Macaca mulatta: one gene and its partners. The protein of the gene in region 4 interacts with the protein of the main gene of each other region in a pairwise test. Links are inferred from orthologs where the notes say so. Each region holds a gene or a part of one and is shown on either strand. Other genes may lie near its edges.

The links.
Region 1: the proteins of DDX17 (region 4) and WBP11 interact in a two-hybrid assay, tested with the Homo sapiens proteins (3 studies listed by BioGRID and IntAct). The link is inferred for Macaca mulatta from reciprocal best matches to the Homo sapiens genes DDX17 and WBP11.
Region 2: the proteins of DDX17 (region 4) and BYSL interact in binary tests that used the Homo sapiens proteins (3 or more experiments, as listed by UniProt). The two-hybrid records come from large-scale screens. The link is inferred for Macaca mulatta from reciprocal best matches to the Homo sapiens genes DDX17 and BYSL.
Region 3: the proteins of DDX17 (region 4) and SF1 interact in binary tests that used the Homo sapiens proteins (3 or more experiments, as listed by UniProt). The link is inferred for Macaca mulatta from reciprocal best matches to the Homo sapiens genes DDX17 and SF1.
Region 5: the proteins of DDX17 (region 4) and RBM15 interact in binary tests that used the Homo sapiens proteins (3 or more experiments, as listed by UniProt). The link is inferred for Macaca mulatta from reciprocal best matches to the Homo sapiens genes DDX17 and RBM15.

What each region holds. Positions count from the first base shown.
Region 1 is NC_133416.1:17,239,156-17,244,144, forward strand, and holds the start of WBP11 (WW domain-binding protein 11), read right to left. Parts: upstream 3,175-4,989; 5' UTR 3,066-3,174; intron 1,172-3,065; 5' UTR 1,127-1,171; coding exon 1,063-1,126; intron 527-1,062; coding exon 495-526; intron 1-494. UniProt on the Homo sapiens protein: Activates pre-mRNA splicing. May inhibit PP1 phosphatase activity.
Region 2 is NC_133409.1:140,238,486-140,241,729, forward strand, and holds the end of BYSL (bystin), read right to left. Parts: intron 3,060-3,244; coding exon 2,711-3,059; 3' UTR 1,096-2,710; downstream 1-1,095. UniProt on the Homo sapiens protein: Required for processing of 20S pre-rRNA precursor and biogenesis of 40S ribosomal subunits. May be required for trophinin-dependent regulation of cell adhesion during implantation of human embryos.
Region 3 is NC_133419.1:9,618,401-9,623,462, reverse strand, and holds the start of SF1 (splicing factor 1), read right to left. Parts: upstream 3,249-5,062; 5' UTR 2,875-3,248; coding exon 2,469-2,874; intron 2,248-2,468; exon of another isoform or gene 1,988-2,247; intron 1,141-1,987; coding exon 1,012-1,140; exon of another isoform or gene 520-1,011; intron 1-519. UniProt on the Homo sapiens protein: Necessary for the ATP-dependent first step of spliceosome assembly. Binds to the intron branch point sequence (BPS) 5'-UACUAAC-3' of the pre-mRNA. May act as transcription repressor.
Region 4 is NC_133415.1:13,049,052-13,053,306, forward strand, and holds the end of DDX17 (probable ATP-dependent RNA helicase DDX17 precursor), read left to right. Parts: coding exon 1-456; 3' UTR 457-2,969; downstream 2,970-4,255. UniProt on the Homo sapiens protein: As an RNA helicase, unwinds RNA and alters RNA structures through ATP binding and hydrolysis.
Region 5 is NC_133406.1:129,853,715-129,858,806, forward strand, and holds the start of RBM15 (RNA-binding protein 15), read right to left. Parts: upstream 3,267-5,092; 5' UTR 2,396-3,266; coding exon 1-2,395. UniProt on the Homo sapiens protein: RNA-binding protein that acts as a key regulator of N6-methyladenosine (m6A) methylation of RNAs, thereby regulating different processes, such as hematopoietic cell homeostasis, alternative splicing of mRNAs and X chromosome inactivation mediated by Xist RNA.

The DNA of each region.
Region 1 (4,989 bases), on a different chromosome or scaffold from region 4:
TTTCTTACTCTGTTGAAGTACTTTACCACAAATTCAACAGCTAAGAGGAAAATGCTAATCAGGAAAAGAAAGGTAATATATTTATAAATATTATAAGCCAATATATATATTTAAGCTAATGTAATATACATAATAGTTAATCAGGAAAATGGATAAAGTGATCTAGCATCATGTTTATTTCCATCCTCATTGGTAGATTTTAAAAGTTATGTTTTAATAAATAACAAAAAAGAATTATTTTCCAAAGTATTTTTTAACTCACTGGAAAAGTAATCAAAAATGGCATTATAACTTGTAGTGAGCTTCTCTGCAAAGTTACTTCAGTTCCTAAATATAGTAAAGTTTGGCTTAGTATATCTTACAGTTTTTATAAAAAGCATAAAGCACCTTTTCTAGAAAATATTAGAAATGTTATTCTGAAACCCACTAATCCCAAACCACAAGATGTGCCAAATAGTACTTAAAAGTTTTATAAGATGCCTCTGAAATCATACCTTCTTTAATTCTCTCTTCCGGGCTTCCTTTCCTTTAAAAGGAGAGAGGGAGATATAATAAAATTTTTGAATCTTGAACATTAGCATTTCCTTCAATTTCATACAGGTAATTCTTTATTGTGGGAAGTTACAGTATGCACTGTAAAACAGCAGCATCTTTGGCCTCTATCCACTACATGCCAAGAGCATCCCTCTAATTATGACAACCAAAAATGTCAAGACATTTTTGTTTAATGTTCCATAAAAAACAACTATGAATCTGAAAGAAAAAGATAACATAAAATGCGAAACAAGGGCTCGCAAAACTAATTTGCTCAAAATTTCAAATACAAAAAGAAAACTTTCAGCCAATTCTACTTTGCAAGTCAATCAAATCTGAAAACTAAAATATGGGTACTAATTTATTTGCATGTTTAACGTCTTAATGTTCCCATCCAAACACTGAATATACAATTTATTCCTCCTATCACTGCTGGTCTTGTAATTAAGCCACAGAGAAATAAATTCCCTAATATGTGCAATTTTTAACACTCTCCTACTTCATCATTCCACACTAATGGACACTTACGGGCTTGGTCTGTGGGGTTCATAAATTTTCCACTCTTGGTGGATGATGTAGATCTCCGTCCCATGTTGACAATTTGTATGGTTTACTTGTTCATTAAAAAAAGAAAAACCTGTGAAGGTGAAGACAAAGAAATAGCTTATATCTCCTAAATTTATTTCTTCCTTTTTCTAGTCCCTACCAATCTCTGAAAAAAAAATTCCTTTAATTAGAAATTCTGTGAGACTGTTCTTTCCTTAGTTTTGACTTTAATGTCCAAGAAAGATGGCATTAAGTTTCTTTACCATGAAAATTTAGATCTCCATCATTCTTTGGAAATGTGATGAGTGTGAAGACCACTTTGAATATCCTCAAGTCATTACTTTATCTTTTTTCTTATGGATCACAGCACTGACTTTGTCAACTGATAAAAAAACAACTAGAAAATGCTTTAACGATATGGCACAAACCATGAACATCAGAATTCATTAGTCCTTCTTCTATAACCTCCCTTTATTAACACGTAATTGTAAAAGAAGAATACGAACGGAATGGGGGTAATGGATCTAGGCTCAAAACAAACACCTCACCCTTGCCTCGCTCCATGGTTTTTCTTGGCATGTATGCTGTACATTCTCAACACTTCTAAGACACTAAAAACTCATTCATTTAAGCATATTTAATTCAGATATAATGCTTGACTCTCAAGAGTTCAAAACACAACTAAAAATGCAAGTATTTGAAATTAGTGCTACACTGAGAGCTCCCCAAAATTTAAATATTAAGACACATATTTTTCTAATACCTGACTCCCAATATATATTTCTTAAGGTAACTAAAGGGAATACTTATTCTTGTTTGAGGAAAAAATATTTTGTAAGCTAAAACTTTTATTAACACAATACCCTATTACATGACTTCTTCCTCTTATTCCAAAAGAATGGGGCTTAATTTTTTGAAGCATTCTTTCCAGTAACAAAGGTGGACAAATTTGTTTCCTTTTGCAAGTAGACACTTTTTAAAGGGAAGAAAGGGAAGATTTTCAGACCAGTTTGTTACAGTTAATGTGTCTTTCGCCAAGTGTCCAATTGCCCCGAAAGCCAGATGTTTCAGAAAGCTAGATGTTTCATAGCTGTTCTGGTGGCAATTACTTCAAGACGGTGGTGTCAAAGGCTCTGATTTTTAGCTTCCTCATCTAAAAAATGGGGACATCAATTACTTTATAACAAAGCTCTGATGATACAACGGGATTACAAATAAAATATCTTGTGATGTTTGACTCACTATTTAACTATAATCTTTATAATGGATCCATATTCCTGCCCTAGCTACCATACACCCTGTCAAGTGGTTTCCTTCTCAGAAAAACTGGGGGGTGGAGGTGTGGGTGGGAGAGCAGCAGGGAGTAGGAGGTAGGGAAGGAAGAAAACATGCAAAATTCGTACAAATACAAGCTCTCCCATCTTTGATTGCCTGCGTTTTTCGTGCTTTCCTTTCTCAAGCGGGCTCATGTTCTGAATCTCCTCCCCCACAAATGAAACACAACGGATACGAATTACAGAGAATTTTACGGAAGATACGGGAGCTTAAGTCTGCAAAGATTAGTTTTTTGTCTACAAGCGGGGGCGACTGGAAAAATCAAGCCAAATAACCGTTGGGGAACTGTAAATAGCCAAAAAACCTTCAATGGGATAGGGTCCAGGTCCACCAAAGGAGGCAACACCAGCAACTGCCGAAACCATAGTGACGGTTGACCGACCATGACTCGAGGTACAAGACGTCAAACCTAAGGCTACCAATCAACGTGCATAGGAAGCGGCCCCAACCGCCCCGGGCGATGCCAACCGCGTAACCACTGGTCGCCGCGCCACCCCAGGCCCTGGAATACCCCAGTCCGCAACCGGGAGACCCCAGCCGGGGAGAGGAGGAGCGGGGCAAAGGGACTGGGTGTCCCCCAAGCCACTGCGCGGGCCGTGGAAGGGACGAAAGAGATGAGGAAAAGAAGTAGAGCAACTCCATACACTCACACTTCTGCTGTGCTCCCAGGACTACGAGAAGCGGGCAGGGGGCGATTCCCGGCCTCTTTCACTTCGTAAGGGCCTTCAACTCGGCCTCTCGGTCTACCCCTCAGCTACCGCCATCTTGAAACCTCGCGCCCCTCCGCAATCCTTACGTCATTTCCCATTCCTCTGTCCCGCTGTCTCTTAGCGCAGCTCGGCCCTAGAACCATAGAGAATACTCAAGAATTCCAGGACCAGAGTCTCTTCCGGTCCCATACAATACTCCATTGGTTGGTTGTCGGCTAAGAGCCCGCCTCATTGCGCTCATCTAGTACAATAGGAATTGAAAGAAGATAGCTGCTATCTGATTGGCTGACGGTCCTGTCTCTCAAGTTGGAGGCGTTCTGACCTAGTTGCTGGGGGCGTAATGCGTTGACCTGTCCGAGAACGGTACTTTCTGCAGATGCAGAAGCGTTCCGCGTTTTGTGTCTCTTGGAATTACGTTAGTTTTTGGATTTTTATGTTTCTTATGACGCAAGCAGGTGCGATCCTTTAGGGGTGTCTCCGTTTGTAAACGAATACCCAGATAACATTTGCTACTGAGTTTAATCCGCTTTGTAAGCATCAGGTTATCCCATGTGGGCGTCTGGTACGTGTGGAAATTTAATAGACGCGCAGAACAGAACATTTGTAGACCACCTGAACAAATAAATCAGCACCCGTATTAGAGTCGCAAATTGCTTATACGGGCGGTGATTTATTATTTATTTATTAGTAGTGTTCTGAAGAAGAAATACGGGGATACATATGCAGTCGGTTTTAAGTTTATGAGTGGCAAGGTTGATATATATTGGCCGTATTCCCTACTGGTCTATTCACCAGCCAAAAGTCCTCTATGATGTCACTCTACGTACAGGATTATTCACTTAACTCTAGCCTTTGCCCTTTCCTTACCTACTATCCCCTCTTTCCCTGAGTCAGCCCCCACTTATTTCCCTTAAAGGTAAGTTTAAACATTTAAAAAACTATCTTAGAGGGTACGCTTGGTTATTTCTAATCTTAACCAGACTATCCCTTGTAGGAAGTCTATTCTTACCACCAGTTATAAATATTTCAAAATATTGTTGGAGATACATATTAATTTTTGGCAGAATCTTTAAACTGCCCTTGAAGGTAATATGATCGGTCCTATACCTAAACTTACCTTTGTGTTAGGAAATTCTTGATTTGATTTTAGATTGAATTTCAGTGTCGGAAAGCAATGACAAGATCTGGTAGGTTAAAGCTGATAAACCAGGTAAAACATAAAAAAGAAAATAATCTTGAATTTTGAAGATGAACTAAGTTGTAATATTTTGCAACTTGTTTTTTTTTCTTCTTAACACCATATTAGTGGTCATAGTTTTGCAACTCGTTTTGAAAAACAATGCGAGAAGAGAAAGAGAAAACAAACTGTTTGTTGGAAATATTAAAGTCTTTCATGTAGCTAAAATTTTTCCTGTAGCTAATATTATTAAGATAGGCTGAGCAGTTTTTATTTCAATACATTTCTTGTACTTGGATGGGAGAATCAGCTATAACAAACGCAGTCTGGCATCAACAGCATATTAATAATTTTGTCAGTATAGACTAAAAGAGTCCTCATGGGAATTACTTACTGGCAAAGGATTTAGAAAACAAACACATCTGCAGAGATTCAGCTGAACCATTAATAGGCCTCTATAGCCTTTGGCGTTTTCTAAAATCAGGTAATTAGTGAAATGGCCCACCTAATGCGTCGTGTATCAAAGGCAGCTGCCTCCTTTTTGCTAGTGTTGAAAATGAAATTATATTAATTTTTCTGAAAACATAATAAAGTATGACTTTCCTTTAAATGACAAATGCTTTGAGAGTAGTGACCTTCTATTCTGCATCCTAAATGCATTTTATTCCTGTGAGCTGTGTTTTGCTT
Region 2 (3,244 bases), on a different chromosome or scaffold from region 4:
GGCCAGCCACGTCTGCATTTCGGTGGGTAGTCAAGCTCCTCCTCCCTGCATCTGACCAGCAGCGCCTTTCCCAACTCTAGCTGGGGGTGGGGCAGGCTGATGGGACAGAATTGGATACATAACGCCAGCATTCCTTTTGAGCGCCCCCCACCCCTGGGGGCTGTTTTCAACTGCCAAAATGCTCTAGTGCCTTCTAAAGGTGTTGCCCCTTCTAGGGTTATTGCATTTGGATTGGGGTCCCTCTGAAATTTCATGCATGATAGACACATATGAGGGGGAATAGTCTAGATGACTCCTCAGTACTTTGGAGGCCCCTATATAATCCGTGCTGACAGCTGCTCCTAGAGGGAGGGGCCTAGGCCTCAGCCAGAGAAGCTATAAATTCCTCTTTGCTTTGTTTTCTGCTCAGCTTCTGTGTGATTGACAGCTTTGCTGCTGAAGGCTCATTTTAATTTATTAATTGCTTTGAGCACAACTGTAAGAGGACATAACGGGGTCCTGGCCATCCCACAAGTGGTGGTAACCCTGGTGGTTGCTGTTTTCCTCCCTTCTGCTACTGGCAAAAGGATCATTGTGGCCAAGGAGCTGCTACAGCCTGGGGTGGGGTCATGCCCTCCTCTCCTGTTGTCCCTCTGCCCCATCCTCCAGCAGAGAAAATGCAACAGGGATGCCCTGGAGGTGGCTGAGCCCCTGTCTAGAGAGGGAGGAAGCCCTGTTGACACAGGTCTTTCCTAAGGCCACAAGGTTTAGGCTGGTGGCCCAGGACCATCATCCTACTGTAATAAAGATTGTGAAATAAAACTGGCTTTGGCTTCTTGGATTGGTGTGTGGGTTAAGTCTATTTCTGGACTGTATGAGGTAAGGAGGCGGAAGCCAGTGGTCTAAAGCAGGGATCATTGAGCCTTTTCTGTAAAGGGCTGGATAGTTAGGCTTTGCGGGCTATATGGTCTCTGACCCAAATATAATCAGTTCTGCTTTATAATGTGACCTATGTGTTCCTGAAAATCACTATGCCATGCAATTTGCACAATAAAAACCACAGGTCTCATGGGAAAAATGGGGCTTGAAGCACAACACTCAAATGAGTGACACATGTTAAAAAAAGGATAGCTTGGTTTTTACATGTCAAATGGTTGAGAAATACATAAATATTACAATAAATACGGCCTTTTATCTTGAAGACATGCACTTTGCTTTTGGAAGTGGATGTTGGAAGGGTTGCTCAACACAGGTGGGCAGCTAAGTGAGGTAGCTGGTACATGTTCAAGTGTGAGTTTTGTGTACTAGTTAGGCTTGGTTCAGCTGGGTACAGTTTCCCATATTCACCTAATGTTTCTCGAGGATGAAATCATACACAAGCAAACATTAAGCCTGCGTTATGATCAAACTGTTCCCAAATATATTAAATGGGTTGGAACAAATGCACAATTTTGGAAGCAAATAAGGGTTATAGCAGGATTATACTTAACTCTGCTGTTGTAGCACAAAAGCAGCCACATGAAACATGTAAATGGGTGAGCATGGCTGTTCCAACAAAATTATGGATGCTGAAACTGGAATTTCATGTAATTCCTACCTATCACAAAATACTGTTAATTTTTTTCCCCATTTAAAAATGGAAAAATCATTCTTAGCTCATGGGCCACACAAAAACAGGCACTTGGGCTGGGTGCGGTGGCTCACGCCTGTCATCCCAGCACTTTGGGAGGCTGAGGCGGGTGGATCACCTGAGGTCAGGAGTTCGAGACCAGCCCGGCCAACCTGGTGAAACCCCATCTCTACTAAAAATTTAAAAATTAGCCAGGCGTGGTGGCACGCACCCGTAGTCTCAGCTACTCAGGAGGCTGAGGCAAGAGAATCTATCGAACCCAGGAGGCGGAGGCTGCAGTGAGCCAAGATCATGCCACTGTACTCCAGCCTGGGCAACAGAGCGAGATTCTGTCTCAAAAAATAAATCAACAAAAAAAGGGGCACTTGGCCGTAGTTTACTAGTCACTAAAGCTTTCATTGGCTGAAAAGCCAGAAAGGGAGCCTGTTTGATGCTAGCTCTGATCTAACTCTTCTTGGGCCCAGCCTTATTCTCTGGCCTTTCTTGACTGTATCTCTGCTTTCCTCAAGTTTTCTCTTGTAGTCCTTTCATCCACAGCTGACACATGACCATCTTTGGACAACCTGCTCCTGGCTGCTGCAGCCTGTCATGGGAGAAGGCAGAGGATGTGTCCCCAGGTGGCTAACAAGGTGAGTGTAGCCTGGAGAAACAAGCTTGGAGATCAAGGGAGGTGGCTCCTATATAAACGGGACAAGAATGTCCTCCATCTTCCAGATACTAACAGGAGTAATGCCCACCTCCATTTACTACACCAAACACAGAGGTTCAATAAATACCTGCCTTTGCCTTTATCCACAGTGACCTGACACAATAGCCATAGAAAAAGTACTCACACCAAGCCCCAGCTGGGGACTGGGAATGCCAGTGTATGGTATTAAGTCGGCTCTCAGAACTGAACAGGGGTAAGGGCCTAGAATGGAAGAGGGAACCAGCCAGACCCTCAGTCCTTCCTGTCCTGGACTGGAAGCCACAGATGTTCCTGTGATCTGTCACTGCCCTGATCTGGGTCTTTAGCCATTAAGGTTTGGTGTCATCTTCAGTCACCAACGGGGGTCTTGGTGTCCTTCCAAACCCCTTTGGCCAGGACAACTGACTGTTTTCTCAGTTGTCCATGGTGATGGGAACATCTTCCACATCTCGGGGGACTGCGCTCTGAAGCTCACGCCTGATTTCGGGGGATAGCTGTGGATGGGGCTGCAGCCGGAGCAGTTCTAAGAGGGCCTCTTTCTGGTCTGTGGCCAAGTCGGCCTTGTAGCGCTGGACCAAAGTCAGGAGGCACTGGTGCCAGAGCACAGGCAGTTCACGCTTCTCTGTCCGGAACCCCAGGAAGTGGAAGACTAGGGCATCCAGCACCCGGTAAGGCAGTGCATACTTCTTATCCAGCAGCAGTCGCAGGAAGATGCTGTTGGCACCACTGTATTCCATCTCAGCAATTTTCAGCATGGCCGCGCTAGTGGGAAAGGGAGGTGGGGTAGAGTTAGCGGGGAAAACATTGGAAGAAGGATCCTACTTCTCCCTCTGTGCTTTCCCCCTTTTTTCTTCCCCTCTGCTGGCCCTTACACTATGGTATTCCCCAGGGACCTTCTCACCTACCCAATCGTATTATACTTGCTTGACTTGAGTCACCATCTCTAC
Region 3 (5,062 bases), on a different chromosome or scaffold from region 4:
TACTGTGAAAGGAGACAGACAATTCCAACGCCTCAAAATTCTCAGCAGTCTAAAAAACAGGAAATTAAGACCCTCAAGAGTAGTAACATGCTGGCCTTGAAGCGTTTTGGTTGTGAAGGCCACAGCCTCGTAGGCTTAGGAGGTCTTTGCCCGAATTTCCTCCAAAGGGGATGTTTGTTTAGTTAGTAGAAAATGTTTATCAAGTGAACTTTTTTGAGACAGCTTTAAAAGGTAAAACTTTCATTAAAAACTTTTTTTCAAAAAAGCAATTTTGAAGTTAATTTCAATTCCACTGTGGACAGTCATTCTTAATTCTCAAAACCTCCCAGCAGATAAAACCTTTTTATCCTAGCACTTCATTCCATATCCATGCAATATCCCTTTCCCAGCAGAGTTAAGAGTAAATACAAGAGCCTTCATTTTAAGACAGCTCTCCATAAACCAAACCAGAAAAGATGTTGAAGGGAAGGTTAAATTCTTAAATTCAAGAAAATAAAAAGGGATAAATTGTAAACACACTTTCAGAACCACTTTTTGTCAGTTTTTTTTTTCTTTCAGAAAGTACCTATAAAAAGTAAAAGACCACATTTTAGGGGGAGAAATATGAAATTATGGTGAAAGGCCATGCTGTGAAAAGTACTTGGTTTACAGTACCTGTGGTGTTCTCCACTGGGGCCTGTCCAGAGAGGCAGATGACACTCACCTCATCAACTGGCAATGAACAGCAGCAGCTGAAAAGGGTGGGCTGCTGGTCTGGGGACTGTTTTTACCCCTAAGTGAGACCCTACCTTCCTGACACTCATGGAGAACACTGCAGTTATGAACAGACCAAAACAAGGAGCTGCAAATGCAGAACTCACTGGGCAAAAACTGACAGATGATACCAAAGTCATGAAAATATCTCATCTCAAAAAAGATAACTACAATCTCAAACTTTCAAGAAATGCAGATCTTGCTCAGAATAAATCGTAACAATCTCAAAGTGCATTTGGATGCAGAACGTATATTTACCTATATAAGCTCTTTCTTGTTCTCGAGTAAGTCCAGGGGGAATAACTGTAGGCATTCCCGGAATCACTGTCTTCTGTTCCATTGTGTCTTGGTTCCAGCGGCTCCTCTTCCGCTTCTTACTTGGGAAGTCTAAAGGCAGAGACAAAGCCCATCAGATGTAAATATAAATAGTTACCAACAGACAGTCAAGGGTATTTAAGGTACTACACAGAAACTCAGCAGATTGCGAAACTGAGAGCTTAACCTAAAACTTAAACAGCAAAAAACCAGAAAACAAACCTCAGAGATCAGAGATTTAAAGCTTATGGACACTACAAGGGTATGTGGTCCTGGGTCAGGCAAGTTAACATTTCACCTTCTTTTGTCTAGAGAAACTGTCAAATATGTAAACATGGTAATCTTAATGTATACGACTGCAGAGAGTGTTAGATATATACTACATCAACCATGAGTGCTCTGAAATCCCCAGGGGAGACACAAATACATTGAAGAATCATAGGTTTGTAAAGCAGCCCTGATGGGACTGGGGGCTCCGCCCACCTCCACTCCCCTCACCAGTCACTTAAGAGGCAGGAGGAGAGCTAAACCTAGTTATACCCTACCGAGTGGGAAAAGCCCAATTCTTCAACAAGATCACTTTTGTCTTCGTAAGTTTGGCCAAGATCAGCATTCAATTTTCCTGGCCAGTTGGACACTCAGAGTCTGAACTTTTAAAAGGATCTATCAAAAATTCAACAAACAACAACCTATACAATAGCAGCCAAGTTGTCCTTCCCCCATACACAGGCAGAAACTCCCTACGTTTAGCACAAGAGTCCTTCTATTTCCCAGGCGATACACGATCAGAAGGAAAAACTTTTTAAAACAAAGTGACAGGAGAGCCGGTCAGACTGAGATCTAAGGATACTGAACGGAGATTAAAAAACTAGAGTTCTCTCCCCAAAAGAGACCAAAAACGATCAGACCCAACCATCACCTGAAGCATGCCAACCTCTCCCGGATGAAAACCCTGCCTTGCTATACAAGCAGAGCAGCTATCCTTGGTATGGTTCCCATTCTGGCTCAAGACCAGAAAGGAGCCGCCGCACATCATCAGGTGAGGCTTTCACGCCCTGCTGGCATTCACAACCAGCACCCCGTCCAGTGCTGAACATCAGCGGACTGAAGGGCAATAGGGGGCCCCGAGTCTATAGAACTGCGCCGCACAGCCCAACCACCTCACTGCGTCTGCGCACAGAGCGCCTCCCGCCCGCCCAACCCTCCCCAACAGCGCGCGTGCGCACTCGAGGCCCTAGAACCAGGCCGCGCGCGCCCCGGGGCGCCTCCGCCCGGGCCTCCCCGTGCGCGCGCGCGCGCGCGCCCCTGCCGCGTGCAGCCGCCGTCGCCGCCGCCGCGCGCCCCTCAGGCGGCCGGGCCCGTCCGCGCGACGCCTCTCGCGCTCTTTCGGCCCGACTCACCTCCTCCGCCGCCGGCCGGGCCCGGCTGCTGGTCCTTACGCGGCGGCTGGGGTGGCGGCGGCTGCGGCGGCGAGACGCGCTGGTAGAGCGGCGGCGGAGGGGGCGGCTGCGGCGGCGGGTACGAGGCGCCGGGGGACGGTGGAGGTGGAGGCGGCGGCGGCTGCTGGGGAGGCGGAGGGGGCGGCGGCGGAGGCGGCGGAGGCAACGCCGCGAAGGGGAAGGCCGCGGTCAGGGCCCCCATCGAGCTCACGGGCGGGGGCGGCGGCGGCCCGGGAGCCAGCAGCCCCGCCCCAGGCCCGGGTGCAGGCGGAGGGCCCGGCTCGAAGCCCCCTTTGGGTCCGGGAAGCGGGGGGAGCCCGGGGGGGCCCAGCTTACCCAACGGCGTGGCGTTCGCTCCGGTCGCCATGGCGCCCCCGGGGACAGGCACCGGCAGCTGCTTTTCGTCGGCGGCGGCTTCTTCGCAAGCCTCCCGGGGGGAGGGGACCCGACTGCGCTGCCGGAGCGCGCGGAGCCCGTCCTTTCACGCGGCGGGCGGCGGCGGCGCGAGACGCACAAAGAGGGAGGAGAAAGGCCGCCGCGGGGGCGGGCCGGGGGCGGCGGGACCGGGGACTGGATTGGGCCGGGCCGAAGCGAAGGGTCGAAATCGGGGGCCTCCGATTGGCGGAGCCTCAGTCCTTCTTGATGAGCGCTGGGATTGGCCGAACCGTTAGGCCAGGCGAGGAAATGGCGGCGGAGTCCGGTGGGCTGGGAGGTGTCGCAGCGCGCACTTCATTTGTTACTGCGTGAACTGAGCTCGGAGTCCAGAAAGGAGGGGATGGGGTGGGGCGAACTCTGTGACGGAGCGTCGACGAGCTCTCTCATTGGCTGCGGCGGTGGAGTCAATCAATTTCGCGTGCGTCGTAGTGTCACGGGATTGGCTGTCGCTGGTTCCAGCTTTTTTCTACTCTCCTCCCTCAGGGGGCAGTTTCTCCGGGATTAAGCGAGAAGTCGCGGCGGAAAAGGCCCAGCCGGAACGAGATTTATGGCGGGGGAATCCTGGAGCATGAAGTGCGCATGCGTATATAGAGCAACACCGCCCTCTCCGCTAGTCTCCCTTCACCATCGACCCTCGGGTCCAGCATGGAAGCCCTAAGTGACGTCAACCTTTGTTCCCATGGTAACGCGGAACCTTGGGGCGGGAGTACGGGAGGGGCTGATGGGCGCCGGAAAACCGGCTCCGTTACGCCGCAGGTAAAGAGACTTCCTGTTTTTTTTAAATCAAAGACCCAAAAAGCTATGAATAGAGAAGACTTACTGAAGGATTAAAAACAGTATTTGAAGTGATGCAACAACAAATTAAATGAAAGATAACAAGGTTGTCAATTCAAAAGTTACAAATACACACTTCTATCGGAATCTTAACGGAGTTCAGAGGATTTAATTAAATGATCTTAAAATCATATAAAACAATAACTACGGCCGGGCGGCGGTGGCTCACGCGTAATCCCAGCACTTTGACAGGCCGAGGCGGGCGGATCACAAGGTCAGGAGTTCGAGACCAGCCTGACGAATATGGTGAAACCCCTTCTCTACTAAAAAATACAAAAATTAGCTGGGCGTGGTGGTGCACGCCTGCAATCCCAGCTACTCGGGAGGCTGAGGCAAGAGAATCACTTGAAGCTGAGAGGCGGAGATTGCAGTGTTCCTAGATCCGGCCACTGTACTTCAGCCTGGGTGACAGAACAAGACTGTCTCAAAAAAAAAATACTACAGTAGTGGGAAAACTTTACAAGATTGAGCAGGAGCTTGCCTTTCCAGATGACAAACATAGTATATAAAACAAAACAGGCCAGTGCGGTGGCTGACACCTGTAATCCCAGCACTTTGGGAGGCCAAGGTGGGTGGATCACCTGAGGTCAGGAGTTCGAGACCAACCTGACCAACACAGTGACAACCCTGTCTCTACTAAAAGTACAAAAATTAGCCCAGCATGGTGGCAGGCGCCTGTAATCCCAGGTTCTCAGGAGGCTGAGGCAGGAGAATTGCTTGAACCCGGGAGGCGGAGGTGCAGTGAGCTGAGATCGCTCCACTGTTCTCCAGCCTGGGCAACAGAATGAGACTCCGTCTCAAAAACAAAAAAACCACAATAATAAAACAATATAATATTGTTGGTAGGAAAGACACATTAGTGCAACAGAATCCGGAAATACCACAAAGGTGGTATTTTATTTCAATCAGGAAAAGATGATTTAGTTGATAAATGGTGTAGAATCTTAAATTTAAACAACAAGACATTTAGAATATAATTTAGGAGACTATATAAGAGTAATCTAGGGTAATCTAGGGATTGAGGGACTGCAAAGACAGGAACCTCAAACTATGAAAAGATATACTTGATTACCCCAAAACTTAACACTGTGATAAAAGTCAACAGACAATGATAGATGAGGAAAAAATATTTGCCATACATGATAAAGAGCCAATATCTATAATATACAAAGAAATCTTAAAAACTAATTAGAAAAAAGGCAGAAACAATAGAAAAGGAACAAAAAATAGGAATGGACATGTCTCAGAAGAATAAATCCAAATAGTCAAGAAACATGAAAGGGTGT
Region 4 (4,255 bases):
ATGTATCAGGATGAATGTGACCGAAGGCTTCGAGGAGTCAAGGATGGTGGCCGGAGAGACTCTGCAAGCTATCGGGATCGTAGTGAAACCGATAGAGCTGGTTATGCTAATGGCAGTGGCTATGGAAGTCCAAATTCTGCCTTTGGAGCACAAGCAGGCCAATACACCTATGGCCAAGGCACCTATGGGGCAGCTGCTTATGGCACCAGTAGCTATACGGCTCAAGAATATGGTGCTGGCACTTACGGAGCTAGTAGCACCACCTCAACTGGGAGAAGTTCGCAGAGCTCTAGCCAGCAGTTTAGTGGGATAGGCCGGTCTGGGCAGCAGCCACAGCCACTGATGTCACAACAGTTTGCACAGCCTCCGGGAGCTACCAATATGATAGGTTACATGGGGCAGACTGCCTACCAATACCCTCCTCCTCCTCCCCCTCCTCCTCCTTCACGTAAATGAAACCACTCAAGTGGTAGTGACTCCAGCAGACTTAAATTACATTTTAAGGAACACTCTTTCCTTTTTTTTCCTCTTCCCCTTTTCTTTTTTTCTTTTTTTTTTCCCCTTTTTCTTTTCTCTTTTTTTTTTTTATTAATTTTTCTCCCCAACCATCGTGATTTGTCTTTTCATGCAGATTAGCTAGAATTCACTGCCAGGTTTCTTCTGCCCGCCAAAATGATCCAGTCTGTAATAACATTTTGTAAAAAAAAAAAAAAAAAAAAATACATATATATATATATATAGCTGACTGGAAGAGATTAATTTCTTCCCCCAACTTCTTGCATGTTGAAGATATTCGAGCTATTTTTCATCTTAAAGAGTAAGGTATTAGGCCCTTTTGTGGGAGCCCATCTTTTGTTTTTTTCTGAGTTGGTGGGGAGGGAGGGAGGGAGGGGGAGGGCTGAATCGTTTTGCAGAGGAAGATGGCATCTGTGCTTTAAATTTCTCATTACTGGGTTAGAAAACAAACAGGGATTTCCCTGCACATTTTCTTTTGTGCTTTTAAATGTTTCTCAAGTTGGAACAGGTTTCCTCAGGCCTGTTTTGACTGATTGCTTGAGTGCATTTGACAGTTAAAAATCACTAATTGGTTTTATCTCCCTTTACACTCTGCCTTTCCCCCGCCCCCATTACTGAAAAATAACCATTTTAGTGTCAGGTTAGAAATTGAAATGCGGAGTCTTGTGTATCCTTTAAATTAAAAACCACAAGTGTTTATTGCAGTGGTTTAACTGTAGCATCTCAGCATCTGGGTGGAAGCTGCCTATATTTCCCGGTAAAACTGGGGACCATCTGTGAAATTAATTTTCCAGCCAGACAGCTGCTGTGAGCAAATGAACATAAAAATGCTCACTGGAAACTAACCAGTTTTTATATTGACCTGCAGTGTAAAAAGCACATTTAATTATAAACAATATATTCAAAATGGGCAGATTTTCTTTTGAAATGCAGTGTAGAGCTAGAATAAAAACAACTCTTTGCCAGCTACTCTGCCCTTTTGGCAAAGTTACCTTGAACAAAGAATCTTCAGGGTTTATTAAGAACTCTTATTTTCTTCATACCCTGTTCTCTGCAGTGCTTTCTAACAGCTTCTGGGTGCAGATTTTCTTCGGCATCCTTTTGCACTCAGCTTATTACAGGTAGGTAGTGCTTAAGAAAAGTCATGGAGGACTAAAGCCTAAGTCCTTTTCACTTTTCCTCCATCTGAAGGTAGGTGAGTTCATCCTCTTCATAGTAATGCTGTTTTACCAAGACTTTTTATATAGCAGATGAACCCAGAAAGAATTTTCTGCTATTGTGTTCACTACAACAGGGTAGAGACATCAGACAGCCCCAGAAACCCCTTTCAGATCTGATATGGGACTATTAATTTTTATGCTGTTAATTTGTATTCATTCACAATGCAGTTTAAGGCGGAAGGCTCCACTGCATTCTTTGGCTAAGGCTTGAATGCTTGCTGATTTGTAAGATCTATGTTCGAGGTTTTTGTTTTCCTTTTAAAATTCTTTAGGGAGAGAGGGATGGTTTCTGAGGGGTTCTGAAAGTATGAGTCAATGTGCAACATACAGGTAGGTCTTCAGCATAAGCTGAAATGTATGCATGTAAAAACTTTGACATCTTTTTTTTAATTTTCCACTTTCTTCTTTCTTAACTTTACTTCTCTTTTTGTCCCCCCCATCTTATAGAAGTTGAGGCCAAGGGAGGATGGTAGGCACAGACGAAACGTGGCAAACTGCTCTGTGCTTTCAAACCAAAGTGTTCCCCCCTACCCCAAATTTGTCTAAGCACTGGCCAGTCTGTTGTGGGCATTGTTTTCTACAACCAAATTCTGGGTTTTTTTCTTCTTTCTTTAAACATAGAGGTTCCACCACAAGGGATGCCCTACTCTCTCGCAGCTCTTGAAAGCATCTGTTTGAGGGAAAGGTCTCTGCAAGCAAGTGGTTATTTGGATTGCTTGCTTCCCTTTTTCCACCTGGGACATTGTAATCACAAAATAACAGTAAAACCTTAAAAGCTATTATGGCCTGAGCACAGCTGAAATCTAGCAGAGTTTAACTCTTCTGCCTCCATGTCTGTCACTCATAATTCAGGTTCTGCTGTTGGCTTCAGAACATGAGCAGAAGAATCATTTTATGCTAGTTATTGCATTCATGGTTGAAACTCAACTTAGGGAAAGGGTTTCAATGTATTAAGCAATGGGCTGCTTCTCCCCCAATCCTCCCTAACAATTCGTTGTGTGGACTTCTCATCTAAAAGGTTAGTGGCTTTTGCTTGGGATCAGTGCTCTCTATTCATGTTCTTGCTGGTCTCCAAACATTCCTGTTGCATTAAGACTTGAAAGATTTGTAGATGTGTGATGTTCAGGCACAGGATGCTGAAAGCTATGTTACTATTCTTAGTTTGTAAATTGTCCTTTTGATACCATCTTGTTTTCTTTTTGTAGGTATAAATAAAAACACTGTTGACAATAAGGTGTAAGGTTTTATTGCTTAAAAATTCTTTGAATAGTTCAATGTAGACATCTTAAAACAGTTTTTGTTTCAAGACAAAGGTGGGGAATATTGGATTGACTGATTAGCACCTAAAACTGAAAGGAAAGTAGAATTGATTAAACTTAATACAAGAGTTGGAATCGAAAACCCTAGCAGGATACCTAGTAGGTAAGGGTTTGGATGTATCTGTATCTGCTTATAAGTAAAACAGTGATTGCGCAAATGGTACTCACCTAAGTACCATTAGGTTATTGGTATTAAGGTACTAAGTGCAAGGCAGGTATCAGTCACTGGTTTGAAAAAATTCAAACCAGTAAAAGATGAGGCACAAAACTCTTCCAGCCAAACCTGGTAAATTTGGTTTGCTTCTGTCCTGAAGGCAGTATGAAAGTGAAATACGTTTCACACTTAAAACTGTCACCTTTATATCTTGACCACCTAAATTTGGTCACCTACCTGGAAAGTGGAAATTCACAAGAGCGTACTCTAATATTTTAACTGGTCTTTAGTTGGGACATTCTTAAGAGGAGGGACATTGTTCCAGATTGGAGTTGACTTCCTCATCATGAGTCTTGCCCTCGGGCCTTGGAGAGCAATCATTTATTTGATCTTTTTCGTCGGTAAGGCACCTTAAGGTTTCTTGTTGCAGTCATTTTGAGGCACCGTATTTGTGCAGTTGGCCCAGGTTTTTATGACCTTACAATGAGTCTTTAAGGGCAGTCTGTTGATGAGAAGGTCTTCTGGGTGGGGTGATGAAGTTTTGCTGAAATCCACACTAAGCATTTTTTCTGGTTTTAACATTTGATCCCAGATTATGGATAAGTTGCCAAAGAACATTCAAAATAGTTTCCTTCATGTGCTTGTTAAAGGTGTAGACTATCTCAGAGCGTCCTCAGATTGGCATTGGAAGACTTAACTTCTTTCCCTTAAGGACTGGAAGAAAATGGAGATGAAATGAGAATTTACCATCTGATGAAAGGACTGCTTTATAACTTGGTGCATAATCTTCTTATCATCTCTTAATGGCCAGCTCACTGTATATGTTCGATTGTTAAAGCAAAGGGGGAGTCTTCATCTCCAGTTGACTATGGACCTGCTGATCCCCGACTTGGTTACTGGCACCCTTCCCCACAGCTGTAAACTTAGTAGTTGGCCTCAAATTGTCTGTTGTACATCTCAAACAGTCCATCAGCAGTCCCTCTCAAGTCCCAGAACTTGTGTCCACATCTCTTTCTACCTAGAGCCTTTTCCCTGAACAACTGCAA
Region 5 (5,092 bases), on a different chromosome or scaffold from region 4:
AGTTGCTGTTCTTCAGTAGAAGCATGCCCTGCCAGGCCAAACAGAGTTTGGGAGAGGCTGCTGCCGCAGGGGCTGTCCCCCCATCCTGTTTCTGGGACGGGGACTTCAGCTTGCAGGAAGCAGTGCTGGTGCTAGGTGCACTCCCATCAGAGCGGTCTTCTTTTTTCAGAGGGCTTTTTCCCTCAGTGGGAGCAGTTGTCCGGTGCTTCCTATCTCGTTCAGCTGATGCAGAGTTTTTACGGTCTCGCTTGTCACCCTGGCTCTTCTCCAAACTACCTCGTCTGTCTCTGATTGGAGAGGGCCTTTCCAAGAGAAGACGGGAAGATCGATCATTGTCGCTGTTGTAACGATCCCGGCTACTGCTCAATTCTGGACTGCGGTCAGGAGAAGGAGCGCAGTGACGTTTTCGTGGGCGGTCACTCTCAGGAGACCTATCCAGATGACGTCCTCCACTCTCCTCAGGCAGCCTTCGCTTCCTAGGCTGGTCTCTGCTGCTGGGCAGATCTCGATCACCTCTGTCCCGGTCCAAGGACCAACCATCCCGCCTGCGATCAAGGCTATCCAGTGGCTCGTAAGCAGGCACAGAAGTAGCTGCAGTCCGAGTGCTGCGTTCTCGGACTGGGGGTGGGGGTGGCACCCAATCAGAGTCAGGATAAAGGTCCCTATCACGATCTCTGTATAGTAAGGGTGGTGTCCTATCCCGAGCACCCCTCAAAGGGTCAGGTGCCCGATGTCCAAAAGCATCTGTCACCAGCTCATAATGAGTCAAGGGCAGAGGCTGCAGATACTGCTGCTGGTAACGATGTTCGGTGTCGGCAAAGTCTACTCTAAGGCGTCGATCTGGGCCACCAAGTGGGAAGCCCCGCATATGGGTCCAGGCAGCATGCGCTGCATCCAGGCTTTCATACTGGATATATGCCCAACTATCACCTTTTCGGTAGTCTATGGTGCGTATGGTGCCAAATCGATCAAATTCTCGTGCCAGGGCAGCAAGAGGAACCCAAGGTCCCAGGCCTCCCACCCAGAGGCGGGTGGTAGGTGTAGCTTTACCATAACCAATTTTGATAGGATTCCGAATTATAATTTTGCCGGACATTGCTAATTTGGCCCGGTGAGACATATCTAAGTTCTCAAATTTGAGAAAGCCGTAAGTACTAGTCTGGCCGCGAGAAGGCCTCTTGATATCTACTTCTGTGATGACTCCAAAGCGATCAAACGCCCTTCTTAGATCATTCTCCGTTACAGTGATGTCTAGGTTGCCCAAGAAAAGCGTCCGGTTAGCTCGCTGATCATCCTCGGGTGAAATCTCATCCACTTCTCTGAAAGGAGCAGCACCTGCTCCAGCTCCCACCCTTGGCTCAAGACTGTATGCAGGGCGCACTCTCTCATAGAACGGGTAGTCTCTTTCTCTCTCCAGCTCTCGAGGCAATGGTGGCGGAGGTGGAGGGGGCAGGCGGCCAAGAGCCAACTGCTGCAGCCGGTAGTCTCTGTATCCTAAAGCAGCGCCACCAGGGGAAAGTGATCTCTGGCCTCCACCACCTCCAGGGGGGTGCCGGTGACCACCTACAGAGGCCCCGACCACGCTGGCTGAAGGAGGATAAGTATCTTTGTCTAAAGGGGAGCGGCTGCGGCGCCGGCTCACATACACAGCTTCTATCTTCAGAGGCCGGTCATAGAGCACCAGGCGGCCTCTGGCATGCTTGGCCGCCCGCGCGTCCTCTGGCCGCCGGAAGTTCACAAAGGCTACCCGCTCATCCCCGCTGCCAGAACCCGACAGATGACTGATTTTGACACTTACATCACCGAAACGTTTGAACTCATGAAACAGGCCGTCCTCCACCGCTTCGTCACTAAGCTGGGACCCCAACTCGCTTATCTTCAGAGTCTTGTATTCCGCGCCGTCCCCGCCGCCGGGAGCTGAGGAGGCGGCCCCAGAGGAACGTGACTCCCCGCCTCCACCCCGGGAGCTGCTGCGCGACTCGCCCCCGCCCGAAGAATTTTTGGTGCTCGGGGAGCTATAACTATGCAAGCGGCTACTGGAGCTGCCCCCACCGGTGTCATACTCGCGGCTGCCACCTCGACTGCTGGACTTGTCCAGGTGGAGACTCCGCCGCGACCCGCCGCCGCTATCGGTCTTTCCGCTGCTGCTCCCATTGCTGCCACCAGAGCCCCCTAACTTCTTGCTCCGCTCTCCGCGGGAAGTCGAGTCCTCACCACCACGGGAGCGTTTGGCCTTGACTGGCGAGCGCTCTTTTCCCTTCATTGTTGCGGGTCCTCGGAGGTCGTCTCCGCGGAGCTGATCAACCCGCCGCCCCGCGCTCGTTTCACACAGCGGAACCGCACGCCGCCATCTTGGACTCCGCCGCGGCACAGGGTCCCGCCCCGCAGTCCTCATTGGCCAATTAGCTCTCTCTTCTACAGTCTCATTGGGAAAATTATTTGTCTATCTTTACATCTCCCCGCGCTCCAGGAAGGCGCCCGCCCAACCACTGTTATTGGGTTCCCAACCCCCTAGTCAGAGTACCTCATTGGTTACATTTGTTGTCTATCTTAACGGTTCCTCGCGCCAGGCTGTAGCTCCGCCCCTCGCACTCTGCGGTCACGTGACCCAAAGTGTAGCTGTGTTGATTGGACAAAAAGTCTGCCCTGTAACGGTACTTCTTGCTCAGTGAAAGCAGCAACCCCGCCTCCTCATCCCTTTCATTGGCTTATAAACCCGTCCTTTAAACCACTATTTGGGAGGTGGGGCCAAGTTTCGGCGTTTTTTCGAGAGGCAGGCTCACAGCGATATCGCGAGAGACGGTGAGCTCCCTCTTTCGACCCCCTTTTTCCAACTCCTCCGGCGGCTAAAAGAAGTTTAAATCTGATTGGATGTCTGCAAGGAAGTTGATAGGCTGAAGTAACTGTCCATCACTCGCTTAAAGGGGTAGGCCCATATAACGGAGGAGGCTGACTGAAGGTGAAAGACTAGAACACGTGCTTGCTATGCGACGTCACTTAGATGTCGCGAGAGGGTGACTGTGCGCCAGCCCCGCCTCCCCGCGTTTTTGGCGTTCTCCCCACAAACATTTGTTAAGTTCCGTGGGGTATTTGGCTGTGCTTCGGCCCTTGGAGTTCGAAACTTCTGAGCTCCCCGCCGTCCTACCTGTGCCGGCCAAGGGGCGGGGCAGACTCTCCGGCTGTCGGGGCCCTCCAGTCCCTTAGGAAGCCGTCCTGGGACGCCTAGCGGACACCATCTTATGTCGCTGTGGTAGCTGAGTGTACAGCCGGGGGAAGCCCCGCCCCCCGCGCGCGGGATAGCGATGCCCGCGGTCACCTGGGCCCGCGGGGCAGGGAGTTCACGGTTCCTGCAGCCCCGGGTCACGCTGACGCCCCGGGGCGGTGCTAACACGTAACACGCGGGACCTCGAGAGCTAAGTAAGGTGGCTGAGACGCAGCCCTAGCCCAGGAGCTTGTCTCCCCCCGGCGCTCCCCGTTGCCGCCCAAGTACTCTGGGCAACCGAGGGGAGTGACCGTCGATCCCCGCCTCGTGGCCCGCGGGCGGAGCCGGAACTGTCAGGACACCGCGGACGTGTCTTTGGGCTGCCTGTTTTATGTTGCGAATCTGTGTGGATTTTTAAATCCGGTATTCCCGTAAAATAGCAATGTTTGTTTTTAATATGTAATGCTTCTTCCCTGAAAATCATCGAGCGAAATTTAGGCTCCATGCAGATATGTCGCTTTTTATTCCCCCTGTGGCTTCTTGTATTCCTTGGCACTCCTCTTTTTGTGTGTTAAAAGCCAGCAGCACAGGCACCTTGTGGCCGCTCCGGATCCACTTCGTTTGGCTCCTTCTGTCGTTCGCCTTACAACTTTAATTTCCATAGAGCGTTACTGTGGCGGACAGAGCACCTGTGAGAGGTGCAGGCGATGCCGAGCTTAGGGGGATATGGCCTGTGCCCCAGCACTCGCCGGTTGCTGCAGGGACGCAGCGCTGAGGTCACCACATCCTTTAGACCGTCTGCAGCTCTCCCGGGTATGCGCCGGGGCGGAGGTTATATTGATCCCGTCCTCAACCCTATTTCCCAAGATCCAATCTATAGTAGAGGTGTGAGGTGTTTTTAAACATGACATTTTTCAGGATAACAATAATGTCCCAAAAGCTGAAACCTAAACTTGAAAACTGTTAATATTAGGAACTGTAACCTAAATTTAGCCTTGGCTGAGCCATCCTTCTTTTTGTAAATAATCCTGAGGAATATGAAGCTGTAGGCCTTTTATCTCTTGAATAAATCAAAGAAACTTGAAGGAAGAAGCTCAATTGTAAAGCATAAAAATCCACAATATTGTAATGTGTAGACATATTCATTGTATTAAAATAGGAAATAAAACTTCAGAAGGCATAAAATAACGTGTATAATACGCTACCATTTGTGGTTTTAAAAATATTTGTATTTTATGAGTATGTACATTTAAAAATATTTTCGTGGAAACTTTCTTGACAACTACGTGGGAAATTGTTCCTAGGATTGCCCTGAGGAGGGGTGTAAGGATCTGGAGTCGGAGGGAGACTTCACTTTTCTTTGTAGAAATCTTTTGTTTCTACAAAGGGCGCGCTATTACTCCTTCAGTTTAGAAAATAACATTTTTAACTTTCCTTAAACTATTTTTATGGAAAAAGTTTAAAATACATAAAAGAATAAAGAACTCCCACGTGTACCCAACACCCTACTTCAACAATTATCAAATCATGTCAATCTTGTTTCATCTGCATCACTCTTCCCACTCTTCCTTTCTCCATTGTTTTCTGCAGACTTACCTGATATACATTTCCTGCCCCAGTTGTGGAGTCAGCCATTTCTCCAGAGAGCTCTGGTTCCTTTTAGTGGGAAATGGTATTTAAAGATAAAAATCTGGATGCTGGAGGATAAAAAATACATGAACATATTATTTGTAAAAGCATGAAATAAAAGAAAAAGTTTTACCTGGGTTTAAATGTTTCAGGGTTATATTAATAGACCACAAATGGAAATTGAAGTTAAGCCATTATCTAATTACTCAATATAACAGTCAATTGAGATAATAAACCAGGCACTAGAGTGACTTTTTAACC